Linked DNA regions of Saccharomyces cerevisiae S288C. The gene in region 3 interacts genetically with the main gene of each other region. Each region holds a gene or a part of one and is shown on either strand. Other genes may lie near its edges.

What was found.
Region 1: mutations in TRP4 (region 3) and KAP120 together harm fitness more than expected from each alone (negative genetic interaction), as found in Saccharomyces cerevisiae (one large-scale study listed by BioGRID).
Region 2: mutations in TRP4 (region 3) and FBP26 together harm fitness less than expected from each alone (positive genetic interaction), as found in Saccharomyces cerevisiae (one large-scale study listed by BioGRID).
Region 4: mutations in TRP4 (region 3) and VHS2 together harm fitness more than expected from each alone (negative genetic interaction), as found in Saccharomyces cerevisiae (one large-scale study listed by BioGRID).

The regions. Positions count from the first base shown.
Region 1 is NC_001148.4:306,960-316,986, reverse strand, and holds KAP120 (karyopherin KAP120), read right to left. Parts: upstream 3,600-10,027; coding exon 501-3,599; downstream 1-500. Other genes in the region: SPC29 (Spc29p), read right to left, coding at 1-232; NAN1 (Nan1p), read right to left, coding at 4,087-6,777; HHO1 (histone H1), read left to right, coding at 7,383-8,159; TBF1 (Tbf1p), read left to right, coding at 8,766-10,027. UniProt on the Saccharomyces cerevisiae protein: Functions in nuclear protein import as nuclear transport receptor. Serves as receptor for nuclear localization signals (NLS) in cargo substrates.
Region 2 is NC_001142.9:128,785-132,329, forward strand, and holds FBP26 (fructose-2,6-bisphosphatase), read right to left. Parts: upstream 1,860-3,545; coding exon 501-1,859; downstream 1-500. Other genes in the region: SSY5 (Ssy5p), read right to left, coding at 1-168; retromer subunit VPS35, read right to left, coding at 2,317-3,545. UniProt on the Saccharomyces cerevisiae protein: Monofunctional, high-specificity fructose-2,6-bisphosphatase, which releases phosphate from the 2-position of fructose 2,6-bisphosphate. Has no detectable 6-phosphofructo-2-kinase activity.
Region 3 is NC_001136.10:1,177,970-1,186,389, reverse strand, and holds TRP4 (anthranilate phosphoribosyltransferase), read right to left. Parts: upstream 1,644-8,420; coding exon 501-1,643; downstream 1-500. Other genes in the region: SPC110 (Spc110p), read right to left, coding at 1-283; thioredoxin-disulfide reductase TRR1, read right to left, coding at 2,132-3,091; YPQ2 (Ypq2p), read right to left, coding at 3,636-4,589; SBE2 (Sbe2p), read right to left, coding at 5,130-7,724; ATP22 (Atp22p), read left to right, coding at 8,216-8,420. UniProt on the Saccharomyces cerevisiae protein: Catalyzes the transfer of the phosphoribosyl group of 5-phosphorylribose-1-pyrophosphate (PRPP) to anthranilate to yield N-(5'-phosphoribosyl)-anthranilate (PRA), the second step in tryptophan biosynthesis.
Region 4 is NC_001141.2:90,568-98,792, forward strand, and holds VHS2 (Vhs2p), read right to left. Parts: upstream 5,809-8,225; coding exon 4,498-5,808; downstream 1-4,497. Other genes in the region: TMA108 (Tma108p), read right to left, coding at 1-2,221; OM45 (Om45p), read left to right, coding at 3,052-4,233; YIL134C-A (uncharacterized protein), read right to left, coding at 5,955-6,158; flavin adenine dinucleotide transporter FLX1, read left to right, coding at 6,828-7,763; 60S ribosomal protein uL13 RPL16A, read right to left, coding at 7,960-8,225. UniProt on the Saccharomyces cerevisiae protein: Can suppress the synthetic lethality of the hal3 sit4 double mutation when overexpressed, suggesting that it is involved in the G1-S transition.

The DNA.
Region 1 (10,027 bases), on a different chromosome or scaffold from region 3:
GGCTCTTCACTTTCCTATCGTCTGATTTACCTGTGGGAGACAATCTATGTAATGGCGAACTCATCCTTTCCTGTGCTCTATAGTGCTTCTTGTTTCCCAATTCTGACGTGTTTGAACTGAAGTTCTCTTCTCGCAACTTTTTTAAGGCTTCTTCATGCTCTTTTCTTACTCTGTTTAGAGTATCGTCTTGAAACTTTTTACTGGCACTGTTTCCAAAGTTACTATAATCCATTATTCCTACAAGCCACTTTGGATCTTTGGTTAAACTTTTACAAAATTGGAAGAAGGTGATTTTATTCCGTGAGACTTGGTTTACTTCATTATATTACATGAACACTTTTCGCGTTTGTTTTTGTATTACGCAAAAAGCAAACAAAAAAAACTGCGACATCTAATTAGTAGCAAAATAAAAGTATAGAATGCGCGATCAAAAGATACCACTGTAATGTTGTTAGTCGAACTATATACAATTTTTTACTTTTATTTAGTACTTATTACTATCATGGACGAGCCTCTTGAGGCTGGATGGATAAAAACATTTGTAAGTTCTCTAGTAAACTAGGGTTAATAGTCTTCAAAAATTCTTGGTACCTTTCTACTCCTAAATGTGATTCTAGATATTCCATTGATTGGGAAATAAAATCTTTTAAACTAATGTTATGCACTGGATCATTGTTTTTGCATAATTGATGATATCTTAATTGTTCGGCAGTTAAAGGATGGAATGCAATTGATTGCTCTGTAACAATATCATTCAAGTGGTATTTTTCGCAATCCCCACGATTAGTTTCATTAATTTCTTCGAGCATTTCGATCCATAAAGATGCGATGGATGAAAACTCAGTCAAAATAGGAACTAAACCAGTCCTTAGTAAACTTGAAATACCTAATATGTGAACTTTTTTGAATTTAGGATCAAAGATATCTCTAAAACATACTATCCATCCGGTTAAAAGCTTGTTTACAACGGAATCATACGTCTGATCCTTAGACACAATTTTTCTTATTGATTCCGGCATGCGTGCATTTTCGTTAGAAGTTGGTAGATTGTCATGATATGTAGCTAAAAAAGTCATTAAGGCGTCTGGATTCACGTAGGATATTCTAGCGATGATTTGAATGATTTGCGAGCATAAATAAGATGAAGGAGCTTCTTCCAGGAAAATGGCATCGAATAATGCTGATAATACTCCGGTTTCATAGAATTTTTGCAATAACAGATTTTCGTAATCCGACTCATTGGATAATATCAAAATTTCCCAGATTTCTAAAACCAACTGAAATGAATCTTCCCTTAACTTTAAAAGATATTTAGACATTTGTTTAAAAATATCTTGAAATGTGTTGTTAGAGAAAAAATCCACAGGATTCAGAATCAGAGCATAACTTTTGATAATTTCAAGTAAAGTTGGGAGAATCTCTGTGTGTGTCTCAATACCATACTTTAGAAATGGCACCAATTCAACGAACTTATCGTCAAACTCTTGATCGTGGGATGAAAAATTTTGAAGAAGCATGCCCCATAGTTCATACCCGTCTTCGCTTAACAACTGATATTGCATAGAAGAGGGATCACAGGCTAATGCAACCACAGGTATGGCGATATCCCACGTTAAATGTGACTGTGATCCCAAAGATGATACCAAATTTCTCAATAACCTTAACAATGCGTTTGCCAAAATAGCCTCACTAGCATTATTTGTTGCTATTTCCCAAAGGTTTGGTATGATTTGCAAAATTTCGACTAATAGATCCCTGCTAATTAAAGGTTTTGTTTGAATTATGATATCGCTCAAGGTGTTTAAAACATATAGCCTTGTCTCGGTTAACGACACAGATGGTAAAATTTTCCTCAACAATAAATGAACATTTTCAGTTAAAAATGGCTGAAAAGTATCCTTGTTGAAGTTCCAGTCATCAACCATGGTTCTGACAGTCTGGACTGTGGTTAACAAAACAACTTTGTCGTCTTCATCTGTCAGGAAGTTTGTAAATAACTTGTAACATAAACTTTTAGATTCTTCCGAACACTTCACAGTAGACCATTCGTTTATAATTAAAGCAACTCTTCTTCTGATAATCCTTAATTCGTCGCCTGATATGTTTGTATTTGTAGCTTCTGGTAAAAAAACCTGAATTAGTAACCTGTCAAAATCTACCATTTCACTAACAGCGGATGCACTTAATTGGAAACTTGCATAAATTGCGTCTTTCCTTAAAAAATCGTCTAATGAGTTTGATAGCTTTGAAGCATCATTTTCAATTTTCTTTAACAGGTAGGGAACCAACAGCTCAGAGAAAGTATTCATTAAGTCTTGAAAAACGTTCTCTGCACATGGTCTGATTTGATATTCGTAACTCGTGGCCATTTGTTCGTTTATCCATTCTTCTGGATCCATAAACCAATTTTCTAATTCAGTTGGTCTTAACCTCAAGTACCATTCCATTAAAGTGTCAACCAACCTTGTTATCAAATTCTCATTCAGAAATTCTGTGTTGATTTTGTTGATAGAAGCATCTATGGTTAGTTTATCACTTCTTGCTTTTAACGTAATTGCCCCCTTTTTGTGAATGAAATTAATGACCCTTTTCAAAATTAAAAGCCCTCTAATAGCAGTCTGTTCCCAAAAGTCCCCCGTGACATCAGAATTCTCTCTATATACTTTAGGGGCCTTATCGAAAATTAGCCTAGTATAAGTGATTAGAATTTGCGTAGAGCATGGCAGTAATATGAAATTAGCCGGAGAGCCAGTGACTAAATTGAAATATAACTTTCCTAGGCATTTGATAAACTTTTCGTAAATATCAAACTTTTTGAAGTTTTCATGGTTTGAAATTAACATCTCAAAGTGTGAAACGGATAGTTTAATAAAATCGCAAACAGACTGATCGGTTTGAGGGCGGTCGTATCCTTCACAAATTATCCTTCTGAGCACTTTCAAAGCTAGGTAAGAAACTTGTAAACTGGAAAGATCCTCGTAGTTGAGATTGGAGGATGTCGTCCATTCTTCAAATGATTGTAAATAAATCCTGACAATTAGTGGTAATATCAAAGGAACTTTACTTTGCATAGCGGGTCGGCACCTTCCTATTCTCGCAGTACCTAATACTTTAACGATTTGATTTATATGCATCAATATATTGTAAATCTTAACTGAATCTTTTCTGATGATCTCATCGTTCAATAGGTTTTCTAGATCCTCAAATAAGGTTGGCCACTCTACGGGAAAATCTAGCCTTGCAATCCTTGCGGAAGCTTGGGCATTCTGAATACAAAGTTGATTATTCTGTTCATCGATCATTTCAAAAAGACGACCTCTTATCGAGGCTTTTTCATCTTTAGGTATAGCGTTAATTCTAGTGGATCTCCAGTATTTATCCACGCCGTTCTTAAATTGAATTACCGCCAACCATCTAATTTGTAAAGAATTAGATAAATTAAGGTAGATTGACTGTAATAAGTAATGAAATCCCGCTTGAGTCTCCCATTGTCTTAGTTGTTGTTCGGCTAATTTTTGAACATCTGACCTAATATGTTGTGGGTTACTTGCTTGTTCAAGTACTTGAACCAAGTTTAACTCGTTAAGAGACGAGGCCATTTTTGTTTAACGCCTTTTAAAATTTGATTCGGTTGACAGTTGAGGCAAGCTAAAAAGTTAATAGTTTATGGTGCCTCCTTTTTCTTAAACACAACACCTACCAAGAAGTTTGACAAATATTAAGCTACCCAATTGTTTGAAACTTCAATCTTCTTACATGGAAATGTACGCTATAGAAGTGTAATTCAAAAAAAAAGAGGCGGCTTATTTGGAGAGATTATTTTATTCATCTTGACTGAGGATGCTCATCAAACAAAAATCGTATGAAGAGATTTTTTGTATATTATGATAGTTCTATTAACATTAATGATTGTGAAGCTTTTTACGAAGTGTCTGTTCCTATTAACCAATGCATTCTCTTCCCTTCCCTTGTAACTAAGTTATACAGATATTTTTGCTTTCGGTTTGCTTTATAAACATATATATATATATATATATATATATACCTTTATATCTATTTTGGATATCCAATGGAAGAACCCTAAAGCTATGTTAATACTTTCATCACACGATCAAAAAATGTATCCATTTGCACGTTTTGAATGTTGTCAAACATGCTCGTAAAACTATTCATATTGACTAGCTTATCTTTCTTTTCGCCATTTATAAATTCCAAAGCGATATCTTCTTCATCTTCGTCGTTATCATTGGTATTTTTATCTCTAGTGTCACTTTTTTTGCCCCTAGACGACAGTTTATGCAATTGTTCTGCAAAAATATCGCTATTGGATGCCGAAGTTGTGATGGTGTTACTTACCAGGCCATCCAATATTCCTTCGTTATTAACTTCATCAGATAGTTGAGTATTCACAGTGGTTCCGACAACACCTAGTGTTGATTCTATGTCCAAAAATATGAAATCAGTATCATAATTCCAACCAATCCAAGATATGTATTCATGATGCGTAAAATTACCCAATTTTGTAGATAAGTCAGAATCGAATATAATAATACGGGATTTGTAATTGATAGTTGGTACGCCATCGAGATCAGTTAGTTGTTGATTTATAACCAGGGCAATGTTGCCTGTCCTTTCGTCACAAGTAATAAGCCTATCCATGTGACCATTTTTATACACTCCGTTAACAAACGGATATAAGTCAAAACTATTTATGACTTGACCCCGCAATAAGTTGATGGCGTTTAATGTAGTCCTGGTGGCCACTATTAAATTTGTGTCATTAATCAACTTGACGGTTTGGATTTCAGAGTCTAACGTGAACTCACTGACCGTCTTTGTATTTTCCAATGATTCAAACTTTTTAAAAGTGTCGAAATCTAAAATTTGCAACTTGTCATCGAAACCATGGAATATTAGAGACCCGTCTTGAGACCAAGCTAAAGAAACGGAGTTACTGAAATGATTAAAGTTTGGTAAAGAAATTTTTTTCAAGCACCAGTTGCTCTCATGAGAGTCGAAGGACCAAAATTTCAGTCCACCGTTGTTGTCAGCCGTTAAACAGCCTTGACTATTATTAACTGATCTTGGTGAAGGCAATATCTTGGTAATTGGGACACTTATCCCGTGTGGATTTATTACTTTCGTTTTCAAATTCCAATTTGTCTCATTATCGTTTTTGGTCCAAAATTTCAAGATATGAGTTAAGTCCTTGGAAGATAAGAGGTCATTTGGCGGATACTCAATTTCGTATGTAATCATCCATTGCCCATCTTTGGTGAACTTCAAATCAGTTATTATTGGGTCTTGTAAATTCAGTTCAAATCTAACTTTACCCATAGAATTGTTGACACCTGATGTTAAATACTGATAGTTAACTTGCTCATTTTTATAGAAGTCAAAAATTTGAACAGCAGAAATGTGTGGGAAATACAAGTTCTTGTTAATAGGGTTTATTTCTACATTAGTGGTGAAATCTTGTCTTCTCGATTTAATTAGTTTTCTAGATTGTTTCTTCTTAGAGTGATTGAGAGAGGTAATTGAGTTGGAGTTCTTGGTATTCATGGCCGAGATTGGTTGCTGAATGTGTTTTATGGTGCTATTGAACACCGGTAATGGCCCGTTAATCGACAATTTGGAGGTCAAATCAGAAGCATTCAAAAGTAAAAATTGGTAGTCAGAATTTGAATTGTTTTCAGTCATTTGTAGGATTAAAGAGTAGTAGTTCCCTTGAGGTCCCAATACCTGACAGTCGATTATAATACCGTTCAAACGAGGCAGGAATTGTTGAGAGTTTGTTTCCAATTGCCATAAACTCATAACTTTTTCCCAACCACCAGATAGCAAATAGGATCCATCGTGAGAGAATGAGAGTGACAGCACAGAGTCTATATGCCATTTGAGCAGTCTTATTTGTAGATCGGCCAGGCTTACGATACTTATAACTCCGGAGGCAAATCCAACAGCCAGTTGTTGACCCATATTGTCTATGGCCATGCTAGAAACGTACCTTGTGTTATAGGATAGGGATTGAGTCTGTGAAGAAAGGATGGAACCGAGGGGAAAGCTTAAATTTACAGAATCATCAAAAAGCGAAACAACTGAGATGGATTTGTGTTCGTGATCTTTTGTTGAGACGTCTTTGCACATATGCGCTAGCAGTTTACCATTGGAAGAAATATTTGACAAGATAACGTTGTGCCATTCTGCCTGATGAGCCACTTCAAATTGCTTTTTAGCATCGTCAAAGGTTAATGCATATAACCTGTACGATTGCAAAGAGTTATGTGCCTTTTGACTAGGGTCCTTGAACGTTGTCAAAATTCTATAGTTGCCCTCGCTATGGAAAACATTTGCAAGCTTTTCATCTGCCAAAGAGATTTTGAAATGCTTAGGGGACTCGACCAGCTTCCCCTTATAATTTAAAACAATTACATGACCATTATTGGTGAATACGGTAATCAGATGAGCGTCTTCTTGTTGCGGAACGGTTATATCACCCAGCAGAATCTTTACAATCGATTCATTATTCTCTTCTTCTTGCAGAAATATTCCGGATAACAAGGAGTTATTTGCAAACTTTAGAGTCTTAACACATTGTCTAGTTTCCACAGAATACACCTTGATCTGATTGTTAAAGGGTATAATATAGTTTCGTTGGTCTTGTGATAGGCGGGCGATATTCTTATTGCCGGTTACTGAACTGAGATTATTCAAAGCGGGTTTCCCACCAGATACGACTGACAGTTTATACTGTTCGATACCTAGGGATTGCGTCATTCTGGTGATCAGCTAAAATGGTTCTGGTTTGTACTTGTAGTTCCTGTGACGACAGCCAATATAACTGATATGTAAACTGTGCCAAAAATCATTTGTTCGAAAAATTTCATCTCATCTCATCGCTAGGAAAAAGAAAGGAAAATTTTTTTCTAGTTTCTCCTTCTCACATTTTACATCACTTACCACGTACCCTAAGCAGTAGGCCGCCTTAACCCTGACGTGCTATTTTGTTACCCTACTGATGTGACCGCTAGATTTTGACATGCCAAGCAATACAAATCTCCAAGAAGTTGCTGTTTGCTTTGATGAAATGCTATTCTGTGTCAAAAATGCCCCCTCCTAGGGACTTGCGTCTAGGTAAAAGCTATTCTGCACAATAACAGGTTTGATGGATGATTTTTGTTTGTTCTCTTTGGCTTTTCATTTTCGCGTCGCGTTTTCTGCTGTTGTTTGTTTTTTGTGTGGAAAAGCGGGCGGTCAAAGTTTTTTGTTTATCTGCCTTTATTTAAAGAGGAGGAGCAACTATAGATTTGGGGAGTTGTTATTTATGGGCACCTGATAATGCTTGGCAGCGAGGGAAGCAATTATAATACAACTAAAGCAACATGGCACCCAAGAAATCCACTACCAAGACCACAAGTAAGGGCAAGAAGCCTGCAACCAGCAAAGGCAAGGAGAAATCAACTTCCAAGGCCGCTATCAAGAAAACCACGGCAAAAAAGGAGGAAGCTTCCTCCAAGAGTTACAGGGAGTTGATCATTGAAGGGCTCACGGCTTTGAAGGAACGTAAGGGATCCAGTCGTCCGGCACTCAAGAAGTTTATCAAGGAAAACTACCCGATCGTCGGATCCGCAAGCAACTTTGATTTGTACTTCAACAATGCCATAAAGAAGGGTGTGGAGGCCGGCGATTTTGAACAGCCAAAGGGACCCGCTGGTGCTGTGAAACTGGCCAAGAAGAAATCTCCAGAAGTAAAGAAAGAAAAAGAGGTCAGTCCAAAACCCAAGCAAGCCGCCACTTCTGTGAGTGCAACCGCATCAAAAGCGAAAGCCGCATCCACGAAGCTAGCGCCAAAGAAAGTAGTGAAAAAAAAATCGCCTACTGTTACCGCCAAGAAGGCCTCTTCGCCTTCTTCATTGACCTACAAGGAAATGATCCTTAAAAGCATGCCTCAACTTAATGACGGTAAGGGCTCCAGCCGTATCGTTTTAAAGAAGTATGTCAAGGACACTTTCTCCTCCAAGTTGAAAACAAGCTCAAATTTTGACTATCTGTTCAATAGCGCTATCAAGAAATGTGTTGAAAACGGCGAGTTAGTGCAACCAAAGGGCCCCTCCGGCATTATTAAACTAAACAAGAAGAAGGTCAAACTCTCCACGTAAAAAGTGAATATCCAAACGAGAATGTCAATGGTGATAGCAATACTATCAAACCTATTTTCTTTCTTCATTTTTGTGTCCCATCACTATTAGTATTTTGTATTATTTCTAAATTTTTTTCTCTCTAATTTTCAATCTTATTCAAGTGTTTGTTGGCGGTACTGTAAATTTTCATTTTTTAATCTCTCCCTTCTCTATTTGTTACTTATTCGGTAAATATCTCCTTTATGATTTTATTCAAATTCCATTCTTAACTAACTAACTATACTGTTTATAAATTTCTCTTCTCTTATATATGCAAGGTACAGTGTGTAAAATTAATTATTGTATTTGAAGAAAAGGCTTTAAAATCTGAACATTTGAAGCCCTAATATTCTGCACCGTGCCCTATTAATTTTCGCCCCTTTCCGTAGAAGCCCGGCGAGACCTCATTCCGACTAATTTTCCTCAATGCTTTGCCCTTCCTTGTAAACATTATAATAAACAATCATCTCAATATTGGCGTTTTGCTCCTATATCCTTGCCAACATTTAAGATTGTGGCTGTCCCATCTGCGACAGAAATCATTTTACATTAGTTTTTCTTTACTCACTTCTTTCCCCATTTGTCATGGATTCGCAAGTGCCCAATAATAACGAAAGCTTAAACCGCTTCAATGACATCATCCAAAGCCTGCCTGCAAGAACTAGGTTGACCATATGCTCATTATGTCTGCTGGACAATATCTCCACTCAACTACTGAGGTTTCTTATCCTTAATGCCAACTCTCCCAATATTATAGCGGTTTTGACGGACCAGACGGCTTTCCTAAGCTCAGGCGAAACAGAAATTTTTCAAACGTTAGTCAAGCTCTTTAAGCAGATCAGAATGATTTACCACACCAGATCTCCGTTACTGTCTGTTCACGACGTGGCGCCTGGTTTATGGTTTCCCAACTCCCCTCCCCCCCTTATATTGAGAGGCCACGAAGCGTTTATTATTACTGCCATAAGAAAGGCGAATCTGCTAACATTTCTATTGACGTCGCTGAACTGCCTTAATTACGGGTTTGAGCTGCTACAGTCGATATTTCTCGATATTTTCTGTCCAAATACAAACACTGTCGGTAACAACTCCCTGGAACAAAGCGGAAAGTTTTTGAAATCGCAGGCTATCCTATATCTTGATCTGAAAACACAGGCTTACATTGCCGGCTTGAAAGAGTTTCAGGACGAGACGAACGAAATTTCTTTAGAAAAGAAACAAGAGCTACTAGACTTAATCTTCCCATCCAATCTGGCTGATATTCTCGTGCAGAGAAGAACCGGCGATTCTGGAGACATTACACTTTTGACTCCATCGGAGAAGGACTTCGTCGAAAGGTGCGATCGTCGGAGAGAAAATTTAAAGATCGTCCAAGATTTTAACTCTCTGACCCAGAGCTACGAATGGGCTCAATTTATCAGAGAGTTGCTGGATTATTGTAATAAAAATATGGGTCTCATCATATGGGGCAGAAAGGGTCGCGGAAAATCACCATTATATGACTTTGATGTCAACGAGTTTGATCCTCAAGTACTCTTTTCTACAGGGACCAGGACCGTAGAATTCATGGACGACCAAAATCAGCCAAGCAGTGCGTCTGCTTTTTTGTCAACTGCTCGTCCGAATCATTACAGCACACATACACCTACCACAGATGTGTCTTCCAAAAACCCCGCTATCACACAATCCATTGTGGATGCCGCTGTTGCGGCCTCGATGAGCAACAGCAGCTCTGGTCCTCATTCCTCTCATAACAACAGCAGTAACAGCAACAATAATGGTAGTATCGGATTAAGAAAACCAAAGGCGAAAAGAACTTGGTCCAAAGAGGAAGAAGAAGCATTAGT
Region 2 (3,545 bases), on a different chromosome or scaffold from region 3:
GTTTGCATTTTCAGGGTTCGTATCATGACTGTTTGGGTCTATTCTTTCTTCATTTCCAGATACGTTGCTAGACGACGTTTCTGCTGCGTTTTGTTCATTGTCTGCAGGCAAGTCTGTATTTTCCTTTTCTTCGTTCTTTTTCTTGTTTAAACCAAAAAATCTGACCATCGGTATATCGAGTTTACACCAGTACTATGTACATGCAAAAAGAAAGGAGGATATCTAGTATGTTTATTCAACCTTTATTGTATATTTACGTTTTCTGTACTGTATAATTTCATTTTCGAATCTTACTTTTTTTTTTTTACTCAAAAATACTTCCGCCGCGGCGTTCTACAATTTCACTTAAAATTAGTTTGGGTAATAATTACATACAATGCTGCAGACGTACATAAAAAACCATCAATGCTACGTTTCCTGATCTTTTCGTACATAAAAGATTGTGCGTATCAGCCACAAGTAAGCTTGGACTTAAGATACACAAAAATAAAAAGTAAAATTTAAAATTTGTCTTCCAAAGGAGAGTCATTGAGCAGTTGATGAAGTTTAGTTGAGCTTTGAGAAAGCTCACCTACTTGGCTTGTACCCTTCTCTTTATATGTACTCACTGCAGGGATGTTTGCTTTAATTTTGGTGACCTTTGTGCCATAGGCCCTAGGCTCCAGCTTGATCAATGTGTGTAGTGGGATTGACATCCAAGGGGATTCCTCCTGTGGAACGTTCATAAAATATGCATATATACACCGAAGTACGGCTTGATGAGTTATAATGAGAACATTTTCTTGGCGCTCCAATTCCATAATGACGGGCTCTAAACGAATCACTACATCTCTGTATGATTCTCCACCACGATATCTGTACTCGTATTTGTCATTATCACGTGCTTTAAAATCTTCAGGATATTCTTTTTCAATTTCCTCATACGTCATTCCGTCACAAACGCCAGCGTCTAATTCATCAAGTGCTTTCCATTGCAGTTTCTTATAGGGAAGATAATTTGCCGTTTGTTGTGTTCTTTTTAAGGTGGAAGTCCACACGGTCAAATTTATTTCTCCTGCGCTCTCTTTCACTAACTGCTCCAATTTTTTAGCGTACTGAAAGCCTCTTTCAGACAGTGATGAATCCCCGCCAATTTTTTTCTCTACGTTATAGATCGATTCGCCGTGACGGGAGAGCCAGATATATTTTGGTTTAGGACGAATATTCATAACATAAAATACAATCCTACTTTCCAAATATGTTCTGATCTTATTAATTACTACTTCTTCAATAATATTGACCAACTTAATGAACGTCATATCCTTATCTTTTTGGGGGTCCAAAGGTTCATAAAATCTTTCATATTGTCTAATTCTTTCCAAAAAATCAGCTTCCGCCACATGAGGTTCAGAGTTTTCATAATCAGGAGATGTGCTACCGATATCCTTAGCGTTATTTATAATCAGTTCATGATCGTTACTCCAGCTCTCTAAAAACATCGGTTGAATATTATTCTTTTCACATATATCTTTAAGCCATTTCCTTCTTTTACGTGTACTATTAGTAGCATCGAAAACTGCCACAGATCCGTCTTCTTTAGTAAAAAAATTAACAATATCTTTTATGGCATTTTGGGCAGCCAATTCTCTGAGTTTAAAATTATCTGTATTTTCGAAGTTAAAAAACTCAGCATCCATTGGGACATTTCCACTCACGTCTCTTCTGTAATTTCCCACATTAAAACACTTGGCTTTTATGGATAACCACGATAAGTACCTGATAATTTTTTGGGAAATAAAAGACTTTCCTCTAGCTGGTAGGCCAACCATTATCACACATACTTTGATATCATTATCGTTGGAAATAGTACTGTACCCCATGTTTCTTGTCTTACTTGATTCGGTTTTTGAGCCCCCTTTCCTTTATTTCTTAACAAACTTGCTTGGTGAATTTAAGAGCGAAGGGAAAGCAAAGATTATATATTAAATTCGTATCCACTGGCCAAAATGATACTTTACCTGATGTAAATGTATGATAAGCTATAGCTCTCTTAGTGGCGCTTTACATGTAGATGTAAGTTAGGGATAAGAATAGATTTGTGAGCGCATTGGCGCGACCCATTTTTTTAACACAGAAAAAAAGTAAAAAATAGAAATTACCCAATTAAGTGTTTTTATAGTAAACAATCCTTGATATCTTAGTTGAAAATAAACTCGAATTATGTACAAGTTTCCTTCCACTTAATCTATGATCCTTCTTTAGGTAAATTTTTATTAGCTTTATTTGTGTAGTTTTTTTTTATCTTGGGCATGTACGAAGAGCAAGTACGTTATTTAACTATACATATATGACTTTGAAACGATCGTCAACTTCTCTTTGACTTTCAATGTACTCACAAGTGCGTCGAAAATGGTGGATTGGGATATACTTCAGTTGGTGCAGTAATTTACTACCTGAAGCAGTTGCTACGACTCCGCGTATTAGCGTGGAAGATCCGTTCAGAGTATTTAATTGAATATACGTACCATCCGATCCTATGGCAACATTTGATTCCTTATCTGTGATTACAGAGCCATCGTCAGCATTACTGCTTGCCTTCACATTATTTTCTCCGGTGATGTGCAAATCACTGATTGAGTTGGTAATCATAGAGGCACTGTTATCTTCTAGTTTTAGCGATTTTAAGTTTGTTTTGATTAGTTCGATCAGACCATTGATGTATTTTATCGATATATGAGTTTCGGACTCATCCCCGTGAATAAAATAGTAGAGGCATCTATTTAATATTTCGACCATTAGCTCACAACTCTGTTCGTTATCCATTATAGAATCCGCCACACGGAGAGACCTTTGTAGACATTCTAACACCCGTTTACCATCTCTGTAGAAGTTGTCTGTGATACCTTCTTCCTCACCAATATTTGAAATTTCCGTTGCCCACCAGAGGTGGGAGCATAAATAAACAGCACGACATTGGTCTTGTTTCTTTAATAATTTGGATCCATGGAGTGTGCATCTGACAATCAAAGAATCATAATAAGCTTCTTTGTAGAGTGATCTTGTCTTTTGTAAAGACTGAGCAATATATATTAAAGCCTGTAACTGAGTCTTTGAATCACTTAGAGACTCTTCAAATATTGTGAAGGCCTGTGAGAAAAAATCATATGAAATTTCGTTTAATTGCAATTGATCAGCTAGAATGGCACATTGTAAATTCAGTTTCAGAATCAGATCTGTGCATGAGTTGTTGCAAGAATTAAAGATATCATTGATACAACGAGAAACAAATTTAAACATTTGCTTTAAAAGATTGGAATAATGGGAAAGTAACGTCTTGTTATCGGGTCTTTTTTTCAAAAGGTACTCTTGTATCATACGGCATTTCCTCATCAGTTTCCAAAAATTTGTGATTATTGCTGGAAAAGTGTATTTAACATTGATGCCACCTTTAATGAACGAAGATTTAATAAGAAGTAATATTTCCAATTGGGCTTCTAAGCTAAATTGAATTTTGTTTTTCATTGTTTGTTTCCGAGAAGTAGTGTTCATTATCCAATGAATCAAAT
Region 3 (8,420 bases):
CTGACCTTGGACTAGGCGGAATGTTAGCCTTAATTTCTGGAAAGCTGTCATCGAATTGTGAAGCTTCACTAAATAGCCTTGTGGAGTCAATTGTATCATCAATGCTTCTTCTCTGCCTTTTCTTAACAGGGCCTTCGTTCTCATCACCATTATTGGCATTTGGAACCTTAGTAGGCGATACAACTTGTGTTTGCGTGGTGTTTCGCTTGGATTTGATAAATCCTACAGGCGTAAATTCCATGTTCTTCAAGCTCCCATTTGGGAGATGTGACGCTTCGTCCATGAGTGTTTATCAGCCCTTTTTCGCTTTGTGTGGACTGTAACTAACGAAGTTGCTTAAGATATCCGCGCACATTGTATTTGTTCCACATCAACTTTTTGTTTATTTGTTTTCCTTCAAAATGAAGGATTAAAACTTATAACGCGTAATTAGGGTAATGTTCAGCTTAGTACAAATAAAACGTCTCTATCTAGTTTAAGTATAACATATGAAATAATGTCTACAAGGAGCTCACACTATCTATAAAGTGTTCTAAAGAACGTAATGCATTACCAGAATGTATGCTTTCTTCTGCCTTAATGATCCCTTCCTTCCAGTTCTGGTGACCTTGGCTTAAACAATATAACACGGCGGTGTTCATCAAGATGTAGTCATAAATAGGATTATTGTCGCCAAGGTGGTACTTGCCGGACAAGACTTCTTCTTTTAGAATTCTCGCATTCTCTTTAGGGCCGTATGAAGCACACTTCGACAACTCGTGTTCTTCTAAACCAAACATAGAAGGTTCTAATTGGAAGGTCTTCAATTTAAGTTCGGACGATGTCGGATCAATATGCCAGACAGTAGTTTTGCCTATAGGTGATACTTCGTCTAACCCAACATGTCCCCAAACTATAAAAGTTTCGCTTCCTGGATATACCAAAGCGGCTGCCTTGGCATATTCAGGCGCAAGTTCCTTTGAGTAAACGCCCAATATTCTCTTGTTTACGTGGCTAACTGGATGTAGAAGTGGTCCCAGTACGTTGAAAACAGTCGGAATTCCAAGAAATTTGCGTATCTTAGAAACGTGGCCCATTCCATGATGAAAAAAAGGAGCAAGTAGAAACATGAACGTATTATCAGGCCAAAGTTTGGGCACTGTCGATGAATTAACCTTGAACATGTCACAGCCTAAAGTTCCAATTAGGTCACCAGCTCCACTATTGGATGTAGAAGCTTTACCACCGTGCTTACAAATTTTTAGGCCCTGAATTCCGGAGGCAACGATAGCAGCAGACGTGGAAACATTAAAAGTATTCTGTCCGTCACCACCAGTACCTACAATATCTAAGATTACTGGTCCATCTTCCGGGTGTAATTCGTCCTTCTTGGGTAAAGGTAGATCAACAAGGTCGGAATGTCTGAGCACAGCCTTTGCAGCTTCCGCAATGTATTCAGCCTTGTGATCAAGTTTAGTAACTCTCAAGGCCGTGAGAAAACTCGAAACTTTGGTATAGATGGAAAGACTCTCATCGCTATTTGTATCACATTTTTGCAAAAGACTTAATATAACCAGCAACGCATCGTGTAGGTCTGTGCTACTCAATTGCGGCGGAGAAGCCAATAATTTCTTGGTGTAAGATAGCAAAGTCGCCTCGGACATGATAAGGGAATACTAAGTTTTCTTGTGATTATTGCAGTTTAAATTCACTTAGTTGTCAGTAGCTGTAATATCAGATGCTTTATTATAAAGTTTTCCAGAAGAATGAATGCAACAGAGTTTATGTTTACTGAATTGTCTGGTCATGAATCATTTTTTAGAGAGTCAATCTGCGTAGGTTTTTTTTTCCTTTTGGCAAAGACGACAAGAAAAATGCAGGTGGGGAAGCGCAGCAATAATATTAGTCATAACTTAATAGTCGGTGTATAGGCAACCACGCGTTACAAAGTAAGCCGATGGCCTATGTCATGTGTCTAAAAAGTTTAATTCAGACACGCAATATATGTAGATTATGTATTGGCTTTCTCTAATAATGGGGAAAAGAAATAAAATTCATGGTTTGCTTTTTATTAAAGAAAAGGAGAAAGTAACGATTTGTTGGATAAGTATACAAAAATTTGAGTGTATCTATTTTATAATGGAAAATTCATCTATTCTAGGGAAGTTAAGTATTTCTCAGCATCCAAAGCGGCCATACAACCAGAGCCAGCAGAAGTAATAGCTTGTCTGTATTTAGAATCCTGAACATCACCAGCAGCGAAAAATCCTGGAACGGAGGTTAATGAGCTGCCTGGGACAGTTTTAATGTAGCCCGCTTCATCAGTGTCGACTTGGCCAGCGACAATCTTTGTTGCTGGAGTGTGGCCAATTGCATAAAATAAACCGCTGACTGGCAAATCGGTTTCTTCATTCTTTTTAGTGTTCTTAATCCTCAAGGCATTCAATAATTTACCATCCCCCTTAGCTTCTAGCGCAACAGTGTTGTAAAGGATTTCAATTTTTTCGTTCTTCTCAGCACGCTTTTGCATAATGGTAGAAGCACGCAAATGGTCTTTTCTGACAAGCATAAACACTTTTGAGCCGTACTTGGTCAAGAACTGAGCTTCTTCACATGCAGAGTCACCACCACCAATGACGGCCAATGGCTTGTTTCTGAAAATGGGGACGGCACCATCACACACGGCACAGGCAGAAATACCTTTTTGCCAGTAGGTTTCCTCGCCCGGCAAATGCATTCTCTTAGCAGAAGCGCCTGTGGCCAAGATTATAGCGTCAGTCGTCACAGGTTCTGCGTCTTCGTTAAATTCGGTCCATAGCTTGAATGGTTTGGAAGACAGATCAACTTTGGAAACTGTTTCCGTGATAATTTCAGTGCCAAACTTCGTGGATTGTTCTCTCATTCTGTCCATCAGTTCGCTACCTGTTAGACCATCTGGGAAACCTGGGAAGTTTTCGATTTCTGTAGTGGTGGTTAGCTGGCCACCGGCAGCAATACCGTTCGCCATCATACCTTCATATAGGATTGGCTTGATTTCTGCCCTGGCCAAATAGATGGCGGCGGTGTGTGCAGCTGGACCTGAACCAATGATAGTAACTTTGTTGTGAACCATTATTGATAATATGATGTTTACTTTCGTACTGTTCGCTATTTGCTGTATAGCACTTGTAGGCAAGTATAACTGAACTACAGAAATTAATCTACAAGCTCTTGAAACCTCGAGCAGTTGGGTCCACTCTTATACGCGTGGGCATTTTTTCCTTTTTCGAGATACTTGCGGGCGATTTTTTTTCTCCATGACTAAGGAGAAGCTAACCCAGCCAAAACCCGCCCCCAAATGGCTAGGCAAAGTGAAAGATTATTAATCCAGAACAGAATGAAACACTTACTGCCGTACTGTATACTGAAGCGTTCACAGTGAATACATAATAACTTTCATTATTAATATTAGTGTGACAAACTATATGTGTTTGTAGCTGTTGCGAATGCAAACAAGACATAGACGGTTTTACGTAAAACTGGCGCTAACTATAGTTGGGTACTTTTACACAGAGTACGAACGTAGTATTCCTATTGGGAAAAAAGGGTCTCGCAAGGACTATCCCAAGAGCAGAGTGCATTGTTTAAATATAAATGGTAGTACTCCGTAGGGAAAACTATGTTTGCGTTTCACCAGACAACAGTGATGTACGTTCTGTCACTAGTTGCGCTGCACTGTCTTCTTCAGGACTGTATAGTTCTCTTTCCAGTTCACGTAGTTGCATATCAGTTGCATAAAGGATATAGTATTGGTAGAAGTATATCAAATCAAACGCAATTGTTCCAGCACTTCCAAATATAAAGGGCAACTCATTCACGATGAATTCCCTCTTGTTCTGATTATCTAAAAATCTACAGCTTGTGAAGATGCTCAAATTATACGTGATATTGCAGAGTAGTGTAGTAGCAAATAGGAAGGGAGATAAGCCGTCTGTAGACTTTCTATTGTAATTCTTGATTAGTTGTGGGATACGTGCGCCTACGTAGAAGGAAGCGCCAATCCAAGATAAAATTGTACCCAGCTGGCTGTTTTTACCATCTCCGGGAGGCCCCACTTGTGATTGGGTGGAGCCTACATTTAGCGGATATGCGCTAGCTGTACTTATAGTATGAGCTATAGCCAAGGCTGCTGTAATGGCAGACCTTCTTCTACTGCTTCTAGGGCTTTCTGCACTGCTACCACCTTGTATCATGTCCTCTTCCTCCCTCAAAAGCTCACCATTTTCAACCAGTTCGGGAAGAAGAGGTTTAGGCTCATGGCCGACAGTCGCCAATTTATTTTCATGCAGCACGCCATAGTAATAATATTGACCACATACAAAAGAATCATTCAATAGAAAATAAATTGCTAAAAGTATCTGAAATAACAATTGCCCTGTTAGCTTTGCCCCTATCAGCGAGGTAATATCCCCACATAACCAAGCCAGCAAAAAATATGGCGATAGCCCATCGACAGATTTATCTCGATAAGTCTCAATTATTTGTGGAAACAATGAAATAACAGAGGTGAAGAAGGATAATGATCCGCACAAATTAGATACAGTAGGCCAGATGCCGTTTGAGCACGACATGAAAAGATTCTTATTTTCACTTTATAATTTTTAGCACCGATAACAACGAACCTTATCGATTGATATCAATAGATACTGGCTTAAGGTAATGAAAAGATTGCTTCTTTATTTGTCTTTGTTGGAGACGAATATTAATGCCTGCAAAAAGTACTTGACGTTTATGTGCACGTTTACGTTTGTTTTTTTTTGATCCCTCCTCAAGCGAAGAGATATACTAAAAGATATACTTAGTGATAACACTGGTACCTATTGTCACTACAAATCACTGAGCGAAATCTTTTTTCTTCGCGAACAATTTCTTCCATGCTGCGAAATTTTGCAGCACGTAAGTGAATGCCGTAGAAGCTAGCAAAAAAAAATGGTGATGAAAAGGTTAATAACAAAACACAATAAGGGCATTAGTTCATTGTTTATTAAAAATATATTATTATATTAATCGAAAGTAATTTCTGTATGTATGCATTTATAAGTTTCAGAGTGAAAATGAACTTAAGAAGAGATAGTCTGGTCACCAAACTTTTAGTACGTGCCACATACACGCTAACGTAATTTTCGGTAGTAGTGCAACCACCACTTTGTGAAAATATTATTGAGGTTTTCCTCTTCGATACTATCCTCCGTATACAGTGGAATACAAAAATGCTTATCATCCAAATCTGATAAATGTTTCAGATTATCATATCCGAAGTGGTAGTTTAACAATACGTTAACTGTTAGTGAAACCAAAATCTTATAATTTACAATAACCTTCTTAGATCTATAGTATTCCCATACTTTGTCTTTGAATATTTCCATTTTTACGGGGTAGTTTGCAAAGTTTTGGCCATTATGAACGATAATTACATCCATTACCCACATAAAAAGTTTATGGTCCATTCTTTGCAATATGTTCCACCATGTATTGCTATTCAAACATCCGCCATTGAATTCATTTTTGAACTCATCTTTTCGTAAAAGATGGGCAACAATTCCTCTGGGATTTAATATTCTTGAATCGTATTTTTCCTTGCAAATTTCACTGAAGCACGTCATCTGTATCAAGTTGACCATTTCCCATGTTTCCTTCAAAGTCCCAAAAGATTGATCAGTTAAAAAATGGTAGAATAGCATCTCATCACCAGTAACCAAACCTTGTTGAGATATAGATTTCAGTTGCAGTAATAGCATCAAGTCAGAAACCACTTGCTTATCTGTTCCATTTTTATAAAAAACCTTTTCCTGTACATCGTGTTCAATAAGCTGTCTTATTTCAAATTCTTTATCTTTGGGAAAATCCATTTTGTTGAGTAGCTGCATTACTTCCTCAAATGATTCAATAAAACATTTTGTTATCAAGCAATTGTCACTTTGTAGAAGTTGACTATATATTTGAAGCCGTACTTTAGATATCAAAGGTGTTTCCCAAATAATTTTCTTTAATTCACTTAATGACGAGTTACGAGTAATGCCTCGGTCCAGTAAATGCTGGAATTTGACCTTATTCTGCTCATTCTTTTTGGCTTTTTCGTCACGTTCTTTATTTTTTTGCAACTCTTCCATTGATGCTAAGTCGATATTTTTGTAGATTTGTTTATCTTGCAATTTCCTCTCTTTGAAATCCTTGGGCGGGAGCCAACTCGGACGGAAATGACTTACGGCCTTTAGTTTGTCCTCTGAAACTAGCATTAGGTCTTCCATTCCCTGACTACTGGCTTCTTTAAATTCCAGTGGTAAACTCTGTACAGATCTTGAACGACCAGAAAGAATACTTTTGGAGATTTTTTCGGAACTATGCAGGTATATTTGGGAGAGATTTTTCATTGTATCCTGGATGTACTGTGAATCAGACACAGGAGATATACCAGGAATGCATGTTGGCGGAAGCTCCTTATAGTCCAGACATGATTCTTTTAAAGTGTTACTTGAATTTGATGTATGTTTTCTAGTACTATGAACCTGATGGAAAGTTTTGTCCACACAGAGAGCCGAAGATGAGTGTTGTTTGCCTTCGCAATTGTTCTCCTGTATTAATATCTCTTCATCCCCCCGCGCTGAATCTAAACTCATTTCTTTTCTATTAAACTTAGATAATGTTAAAAAAGAACTGGTCGATAAAGATGCCATTGGAATGTTCCAAATTAACGAGCCGTCGACATCGCCCTCTTGAAGTTCCAAGTTAACGTCTTGATCTTCATAAAATTTTTCTTTCATTTTTATGGCTTTACGCAAAGATTGGTCATTTTGCTCTTTCCTTAAACGGTAACGTTGAGAAGGAGTAAGTTGGGTTGTTTTATATGGTAATATTACAGAAGTACTATTGGAATGCACATACGGCGTTTTTGTGATCGGCATGAGTTTTGGTTCTTGGATAGTTGCGGTACTCATGCAATGATGTTTAAGAGGAGAGTCATTCTCGCTTATGAATGAAGTTTGTGATGCGGCTATACTGTTGGTTGTATTGCTCGATCCAGGCAGCCCTACTGTCCTGGAGAGTTTAGGAGTTGACACCGAATTTTGACGAGATGGAATGCATGTAGTTATGGTACTCATTGAGCAGATTGTTTTATCAGCGCTACTTGCTGTACGTGTTTTCTGTAGTATTGATCCCGGTCGGCTTTTCTTTAAGGGCGTAATATTGCTTCTATGGTCAGCTTCTCTCATACTTTTGAAGAAGCAGTTATCCTCCATCTTACTGTTTGCTATTTCACCCTCTTCTGAGCTTATATCTGATGTACATAAAGAATCAGATGTCGTATTTGAGTGCGATGAAGAAAATATCTCTGTGCTCGATGTACCTATAGAATCATCTGATATTGGCCTAATGCACTTCGCTGTGGGTACGTGTGGATTATTATTACCTAATACATTTTTAACAACATCTTGGCTAGCGAAATTGAAATCTAGGTTGGAGCTAGGGCGTCTTGTTCCAATATTCTTTCCGTTCGAACCTGTAGTGCTACTGGATGCACTACTGCCTGATCGGGATTTAGACAACGGAAGGCTGCAACTTTTGCGTTCGGTATATTCTGAAAGCATCAACTCCTTTGTGGAAAACTTCTTAGGTTGATTTTGTTTCAGATGCGTTGAGTCCTCCTCCTTTAAAGGGTCTAGCTTAGACGTATTAGGAACTATATTAATCAAACGACGTGCTGTCATACAATAAAATTGAATGTCACAGAAAGCTAAAGAGCTGAAGTAAAATAATGAAGCAAAGGTGGAAGCCCGAAAATAAAGTTAAAATTCAAAGCTTGTAACGAACGTATGAATGAAAGCACTAATTGAGAAAAAACTGAATTTTGTCAAAACAGCTCTATGTTTCAGAATGATAAAAAGGAGAGTTAAAAATACAATGGACAGTGGAATACAGCCAAATGCTCGATAGCTTTCGCAGAAACAGTACAATTAAAGATCAACACTTGTATTCTAATTATAGCAGGATCGATGTTACATCTCTTTTGCTCTCTAATCGGAGCTGAAAAAAAAAAAAAAAAGCGTATATAGTGATCTACGCTGATTAACATTATAGATTGCATAAAAGGGAAAAAGGAATTACATGAAGATCTATTCTGCGCGACACACTTTATTGGCGTACTGGCAAGAATGGGCTTTCAAATCTTCCAAGCGTTCACTTTAATGTTCTTATTGGCATGTTAAAATGTATATGCCGTGTCTATTCCCAGCCTTTGGCTCAAATGGTCACTTCACCGCTGTTTAAACATATGGGTAGCGCAGGGACATACACAATTCTACCTATTACAAATCTGCGCCATTTATCTACGAAAAACTGTCCATTGAAAATTAAATCAAATCGTTCAGAACCTTTGCAGTTTGGCGATTTTGAACGACAGGTGC
Region 4 (8,225 bases), on a different chromosome or scaffold from region 3:
TCACTAATTCTAACGGTACGCTCGAACGTGGGCCCTGTAATAGATGTTTAAAATAAATTTGACACAATTCAGCACATTTTGCGGAGTTTTTATTTAAAAACAAGACTTGAGACATGACTTTCAACTCGTGAGGGTTTGTGCTTTTATCAAATTCACCGTGGGGCCAATCAATCTTATTGAAAAGGGGAATGACAATTTTTTTCTTTAAGAAAGATTGTAATTTAGAGCTCGTTAAACTGGCACGATCGATCGTTTGCAGAACTTCCAACCCCTTGGAAAGAGGATCCCAATATTTTGATGCAATCTTTGTGGAAGGAGAAGCGATATGGTTTAGTATCTTAAAGAGACCGTGCAAATGAATAGAATTCTGGAAACCCTCATCTCCAATAAACTGCGACAAGTCTAAGAAAATCTTCCGAAGGTCAATCTCGGATAACGTCTCCTCAGTTATTTTATCATTAATCAATGCATAGCACTCTTCGGACTCATATGAAACGCGGTAATAACCTTGGGCTAAATGGTTAATTACTAAGATAGGATAATCGAACTTTAAGGTCCTATCCGTCAATAGTACATTTTTAGTATCCATTTTACCATCTGGCAGAACCCCGAATAAGGGTACCTGATATGGGACATCTTCTAACTGATCCTTTTCTTCAGTAGATAATTGATTGATAAATCTGTGTTGAGTCAATTTTGTTTGCGTTTTCCCGTCTTTCTCTTCTACTTCGACCTTAACGACAGGTAAGCCTGGCGTTCTTGTCCAAGATGAAACAAAGTTTGTAATATTTTGAGACTTCAAAAATTTTCCGATATGATTCCATATATCCATTGGTTTGACGCTTCTCGCATGAAATGTTTTAGTATCTTCAAATACACTTTCCAGGCCCTTTTGTAGATGAGATTCGCCTGTAGCCAATTGCAGGGACCTCAGCATGATAATACCCTTTGTGTATGCCTCAGGATCAAAAATATCGGAGGTTTGAGAATCTATGCCAGTGTTCCGTTGCGCAATCTGAAATATGCTTCTTCCATTAACGTCAGCTGCATCTCTGCACATGGTCGGCTCCACTTGCTGTAGTAAATAAGGTTCCGAGGTCCAATAATGGGATAGGTCACCATTCTGTTCTAGTATGTGGCAAGCTAACCAAGTAGCGAAAGACTCATTAAACCAAAGAGATTCCCACGAGTCAAAAGATATGTAGTTGCCCATCCATTGATGAACGAGTTCGTGGACAATGAGTTGCTGTGCTTGCTCTCTGACGGTTTCATTGGCCAAGGCATTTGGTGGTATGAGCAGGTGGTTTAGTTGGATGGTGATCATACCAAAGTTCTCCATTGCCATGTCACTTAAATATGGTAGTAGGACGAAATCTAACTTTGGCAGAGGGTATGGACATTTAAAATAGGATTCCAACAAAGGTAGATATTTCTGGACTGTATCTAAAGTGAAAGCTGCATTAGCAATATCCCAAGGTGCATAAATTGAAACGGGAATAGTCCTATCACCTTCCAACTTGATTTCCGTTTTCAAAAATTCTAAATCACCAATAGAAAAACCAAATACGGAAGTAGTCATCAAAGGTGTCTTGGCAAATTTCACCAAATGTTTTTGAGAACTATCCAAAGCTTCGACCATCTCTACAGGAGTATTGGAAACGGCTTTATATTGTGCATCCGTTGCAATGTTCAATTGAAAAGTGGACTTGTTTGAAGGCTCGTCAATACATGGGAAAATATTGCTAGCGGAAAACGGTTGGCAGTGAGTAGCAACGACGTGATTATTGGCAGTACCGGTTTTACGATCCATAAAATTGGTTTTGAAAATACCAAAAGTCTTATCATGATGTGTTTTTATGTCACGAATTTTACCCACGTATTGCACGGACAAAATCAGAGGGCAATCGTTGGACAATTGAATAGGAGATTCAGAGTTGAAAATCGACAAATGCTTTCCAGTGTCCTGAGAAATTTTTAGATCAAACTTAGTAGACCCTATGGTGGCATGTGCAGACAACACAATCAAATCCTTGGAATGTAACTTGAACTGGGTAAAACTGTCTTCGATAGAAGCTAAGGTGGTGGAGTTCGGATTGAATTTCAAATGGATTATGGCGGATCCTTTGAAATTGGGCGACGACTGCTTAGGGTCAATTTCTAGACGCAACTCATAGTGACTAGGCACCACCGGATTCTCTAAAGATAACAAATTATCAGACATGATGGTTAGTGATGATCAACCTGGCGTTATATATCCTTTACACGTCTTCGGACCTTTTTTTTGTATAGCACATCCAGGAATGGTTTGACTGCAAAACTCGTTTTTCACTGAAAAATTACCGGCGAATTGTATAATAGAAAGGATCGATTTATACTAAAGAAAAGAAGGATTAATATACAAGACTACAACCAAGGGTGGTACCTCACTTGAAGGGGGTTCTCAAAGTACTCGAGAATTTTGATATTCTGTCCTGTGTGTGCTGAGCCGTTCCAGCCAGTCTTGTTCCAGAAATATGTTGACAAAATTGAAGTTCGTAAATATATATACATTTCATATAATAATTGACAAGCTGATACATACGGTGTGCGGACGGTTACATTAATGCAGGAATCTATAAATGCTATGGCCAGCTGGCGTCCTTCTGTTATGCAGATTTCTTAAAATAATTGGCATATTGGTGGTAAACATGAAATGTGAAGACGTTGCCCCTCGTCATAGGTAAGCGGTGGTCATCACAACCATCAGCGGTGACAATAACACAGCAAACAGTCTTGTTTGACTCTCCTGCCTGCATGGTGTTTGAAAGTGAATCGTCAGGATTTGCAACAACCAATAGTGTACTGCTATTCGCAGGAGCACAAGCTCGCCGGTGGCCCGTGTGGGTTAAGGGAGGAGTTTGTTGACCCTTATTTTGTCGAGTTCCTTGAAGAGGAGTATATATAAGGGGAAACGGTTCTTGCTAAAGTCCTGCTTCTTTGCCCTTTCTTGAAATAAAGGGTATTTTTGATTGGCCAGTAACGTTAATCATTTAATAAAACAAGCAGATAAGGATGTCATCAAGAATAATTGTCGGCAGTGCAGCATTGGCAGCTGCCATCACAGCTAGCATCATGGTCAGAGAACAGAAGGCCAAGGGTCAGAGAAGAGAGGGCAACGTCTCCGCTTACTACAACGGCCAGGAGTACGGCAGTTCAGCACCCCCACAGTTGGGAAAGCTACATAACATAAAGCAAGGCATAAAGGAAGATGCCTTGTCGTTAAAAGACGCGCTTCTGGGCGTATCTCAAAAGGCTAGGGAAGAGGCTCCAAAGGTAACTAAGCGTGTGATATCACCGGAAGAGGATGCTCAGACACGCAAGCAGCTAGGCCAAAAAGCCAAGGATTCTTCCTCGCAAAGCATCTTCAATTGGGGGTTTAGTGAGGCTGAAAGAAGGAAAGCCATAGCCATCGGGGAATTTGATACTGCTAAGAAGCGTTTCGAAGAGGCAGTGGATCGTAATGAGAAGGAGCTCTTGTCCACGGTGATGAGAGAGAAGAAGGCCGCTCTGGACAGAGCATCCATTGAGTACGAAAGGTACGGGAGAGCCAGAGACTTTAATGAGCTTTCGGACAAGCTAGACCAACAGGAAAGGAACAGTAATCCTTTGAAACGCCTGTTGAAGAATAACACGGGTGACGCTAATACTGAAGAAGCCGCTGCAAGAAGTGTCCAAGGCTGGGGTGATACGGCACAGGAGTTTGGTAGAGAAGAGTTGGAGGAAGCCAAGAGAAATGCTTCTTCAGAGCCAAGCGAGGCGCAAAAACGTCTTGACGAGCTGAAGAAGATCAAGGAAAAGGGCTGGTTTGGTTACAACAAAGGGGAGCAAAGCGAGCAACAGATTGCTGAACGGGTAGCCAGAGGTTTAGAAGGATGGGGTGAAACAGCCGCTCAACTTTCCAAGGACGAAATGGACGATTTAAGATGGAATTATGAGAATTCAAAGAAACAACTGGATAAGAACGTGTCCGATGCCATGGACTCGTTATCTAAGGCGAAGGAGGACTTGAAACAGTACGGCAGCCACTGGTGGTCTGGATGGACTTCCAAGGTCGACAATGACAAGCAGGCTTTAAAAGATGAGGCCCAAAAGAAGTACGATGAAGCGTTGAAAAAGTACGATGAAGCCAAGAACAAATTCAAAGAATGGAATGATAAGGGTGATGGTAAATTCTGGAGCTCGAAAAAGGACTAGTTAGATAGCTAATTGTAAAGGGTTGGTTCCCGCATAACATATATACATATTCACATGTTTCTCATTTTTTATATTTGAAATCACATATGGTCTTTGCTGATTATGGATTGGAAAACGGAGTAAATTAGTGGCATTATTGGGGTATACGTGCATACATAAAATACCGTTATATATCTATATATATGGAAAAAAGAGACTTAAATGAATTTTTAGAGTAGGAGAAGAAGGTTGAAGAAATGAACAATCGCGGCCCTTCAGTTTTCTTTATTTGGTTGTGTCTGGATTCATAGAGGTTATTGTAGAGTTTGAATTTGATTTTGAACTTGGATTCGAGTTTGTGAACGCAGGGCTATTTTTGATGTTATTATTAATAGTATTCTTGTGTTTATTAGTATTATTGTGATTATCGTTAACCATGTTGGCAATTGATGGTGGTTGTGCCAGTTGTGACTGCAATTTTTGCTTTAGATTGAGTTTATCTCTTTCAATCATAGTGTTGTCCTCCTCTTCGGAAGAAAACCCTTCACTGCCACTGGATTCCATATGGAATTTGGATTTAGGTTTCCCGATCATAATGTTGGCAGCACTGCCGGGCCTATTGCTGTTTCTTCTTGAACGGGCGCTCCCTGAAGGTGACCTTTGTTGTTTAAGTAAGTACTGTTGGTTCGATGGCGATCTTGATAGTGCGGCCCCCGTAGTGCTTCCAGCGCTGGTTCCCCCATTGGCATTGTTGATCGTTGTGTTAGAGTAACGTCTAGATATGATGAAAGGGTTGGTGAAGTTCATATGCTGAGGTGGTGATGCCGAAGCTGATGGGGGGGAAGGCAAATGAGAAGGAGAATTCAAAAGGGACGACGAGAACGAGTAGTGACCTTGCATTGGGGGTCTTCTCAAGGGGTTCGCAGTTGATGATGTTGATGTCGCATTACTAACGTTGTTATTGTTGTCATCGGACAACATGTCAGCGTAGGAATAAAACCTTAGTAGTCTTGAACCATGGTCGTTGGGAGATCTTGGATGCGCAGGCGACGTTTCGTTATCAAAAGATTGTGACGAAAGACTTCTTGTCCTACCTAGGGCTCTATCCAGGCCGATGGTAGATGGCCTTCTCGAATAAACCATATCAACGTCATCAAGGCCAGTCGTGTCGTCAGTTACAATAGAACAGCCAGCGTCTAATGCAGGAGGGACGAAATTCTCTAAGGTACGACGGTGATCCAGTGGAGTCTGCACAACAAAATCCGGATTGTATGTCTGGTACGATGCTATTGACTCATTAGTCCTAGAAGGTTGCAAATGTAGATTCACAGCAGACGATCTCTGGCTTAAGTTATGGAAGTTCCTATTACTAGAATTATTATGATTGAACAAACTGGTCCTGCTGCTCTGCCTAGAGAGAGAGTTTGCAGCGTTGTTTGACACCGTTTTATAAAGGTATGATGGGTCCTCTACATTTCTTTCAAAAATCATAGAACTCTCGCTCATGGAGGGGGAAGGTGGCATATAATTATTGTCGTTCTCCCTCTGTGCCGCCACGTGGGAGTCGTGGTCTTGGTTGTGGTTGCTGGTATCCATCTTTGCCGTTTACGTTCGCTTTGCTTGAAGGTAGTCTATCACAAAAGCTTTCAGGATCAACCTTTTGCGCCTCAAGAAATTGCATATCACCAAAGGGTGAGTTTAGTCTGATACTGTTTGTTAATCACCTCACGACTGTTGCAACATTAATATGGCGCACACACCGTGTTACGTGATGAAAATAAAGATAATAAAGCGATAGCATAAATAAAATACCATTTAATACGCTTTGTAAAACAAGCACTAACAAGGCGTTGCTTAATAACAAAATAGTCAGCATTCAACAACGTGAGAAGGATAGCTACGACATCTACATCTGCAGTGTTGTTAAATTCGCTGCCAACAACCATTTATATGTCACCATACACGGTCATGCTCTCTTGCACCATTTTTCTCACCTATATAAAGTGAAAAAGTTTTCGATGTCTCTTCTTCCTTCCTAGTAAACTACACTCCATGTGTTTCTGAAAGGGACCTTCAGGAGGTTACGATCAAGTATCTTGTGACATGCAAGAACTTGATGCTTCGATGGGGGAAGTCTTATTTTCAATGTGTTGAAAAGAGTTAATTATGGAACGGTTGGTCATAGCTTTGTACAGCTCAATGTCGTCATGTTTGTAAGGATACAGGCGCGACTTGATCTGCGACTTACTGCTATCAAACGATAAATTATGTTTTTCTTCGTTTCCTTTTTTTTTCTTTTCAGTTTCCTTCCGTTTATTTTTTTGTTGGATTTATCATGATGAGCATTTATTTTACTGCGTTATCGTATTGACGGGGGCTGTTTAAGTACAGTCTGTTTTATAATCTATATTCATTTATATTTTATATTTCTTACCGAGGAAATTGACTCTTAACAGATTTGCTGAAAGGTTCATCTTACAAAAAAATTGGAAAACTTAAACTGAAAAAAAAAAAGTGAAGGAGTACGTGAAGAGCAGTAGCTTTCATAGGAATATGTACAATATCTTGTCTTTGTACTTTGCAAAACCAGCACGCAGCAGGAAGCTCTTGATAATATGGTCGATCACCAGTGGACGCCACTGCAGAAGGAGGTTATCTCAGGTCTGTCCGCGGGATCCGTCACCACATTGGTAGTGCATCCATTAGATTTACTGAAGGTTCGTTTGCAATTATCCGCTACAAGCGCACAAAAGGCCCATTACGGCCCATTTATGGTAATCAAAGAGATTATACGTTCGTCGGCGAATAGTGGACGTAGTGTTACGAACGAACTGTATCGCGGATTAAGCATAAATTTGTTTGGAAATGCCATTGCATGGGGAGTTTATTTCGGTTTATATGGTGTCACGAAAGAATTGATATACAAGTCAGTGGCAAAGCCAGGGGAAACACAGCTTAAAGGTGTTGGGAACGACCACAAAATGAATTCGCTTATTTATTTGTCTGCCGGTGCTTCCAGTGGGTTGATGACAGCTATCCTAACAAACCCTATCTGGGTTATAAAGACCAGGATAATGTCTACAAGTAAAGGCGCCCAAGGAGCGTACACTTCTATGTACAACGGTGTCCAACAACTGTTACGAACTGATGGCTTCCAGGGCCTATGGAAGGGCCTTGTACCCGCACTGTTTGGTGTTTCGCAAGGTGCCTTATATTTTGCAGTTTACGATACCTTAAAGCAAAGAAAATTGCGACGGAAGAGGGAAAATGGGCTTGACATCCATTTAACAAATCTTGAAACCATTGAAATCACATCGTTGGGAAAAATGGTCTCCGTCACTTTGGTTTACCCTTTTCAATTATTGAAATCAAACTTACAAAGTTTCAGGGCCAATGAGCAAAAATTTAGGCTCTTTCCTTTGATAAAATTAATCATTGCTAATGATGGTTTTGTTGGACTTTATAAGGGCCTATCTGCAAACTTAGTACGGGCCATTCCATCCACTTGCATTACCTTTTGTGTATACGAGAACCTTAAGCATAGGCTTTAGTAAATAAAGGCTATATGATAGATTTAATTTCTTGTAAATATCAAACGATAAAAATATAAAAAGTACGAAAGAAAAAGGGGAGGTAATCTAAACTGTAACGGGGAGGAATGGTTTCTTTGGTTTTTATTATTTCTAAAAAATATTTGTGATTATATTACAAAATGTAAAGTATTAAAGAAAAACTATTTTTAATTTCTTAGTAACCCAAAGCGGCTAATTGTTTAGCAACATCAGATTCAGCAGCAGTAGCATTAGCAGAGGCAACTTTCTTGGTGAAAGCTCTCTTCTTGGCATAGTATTCAGCGGATGAAACCTTTCTCTTTGCTTCCAATTTGGCAACAACATCTTCGTATTTCCAACCAACGGAAGTAGACAACTTACCCAAGGTGGTGTACTTTCTACCTGGCTTCAATCTCAAAACTCTCAATGCTTGTGGGACAACAACTCTCTTCTTCTTATCGT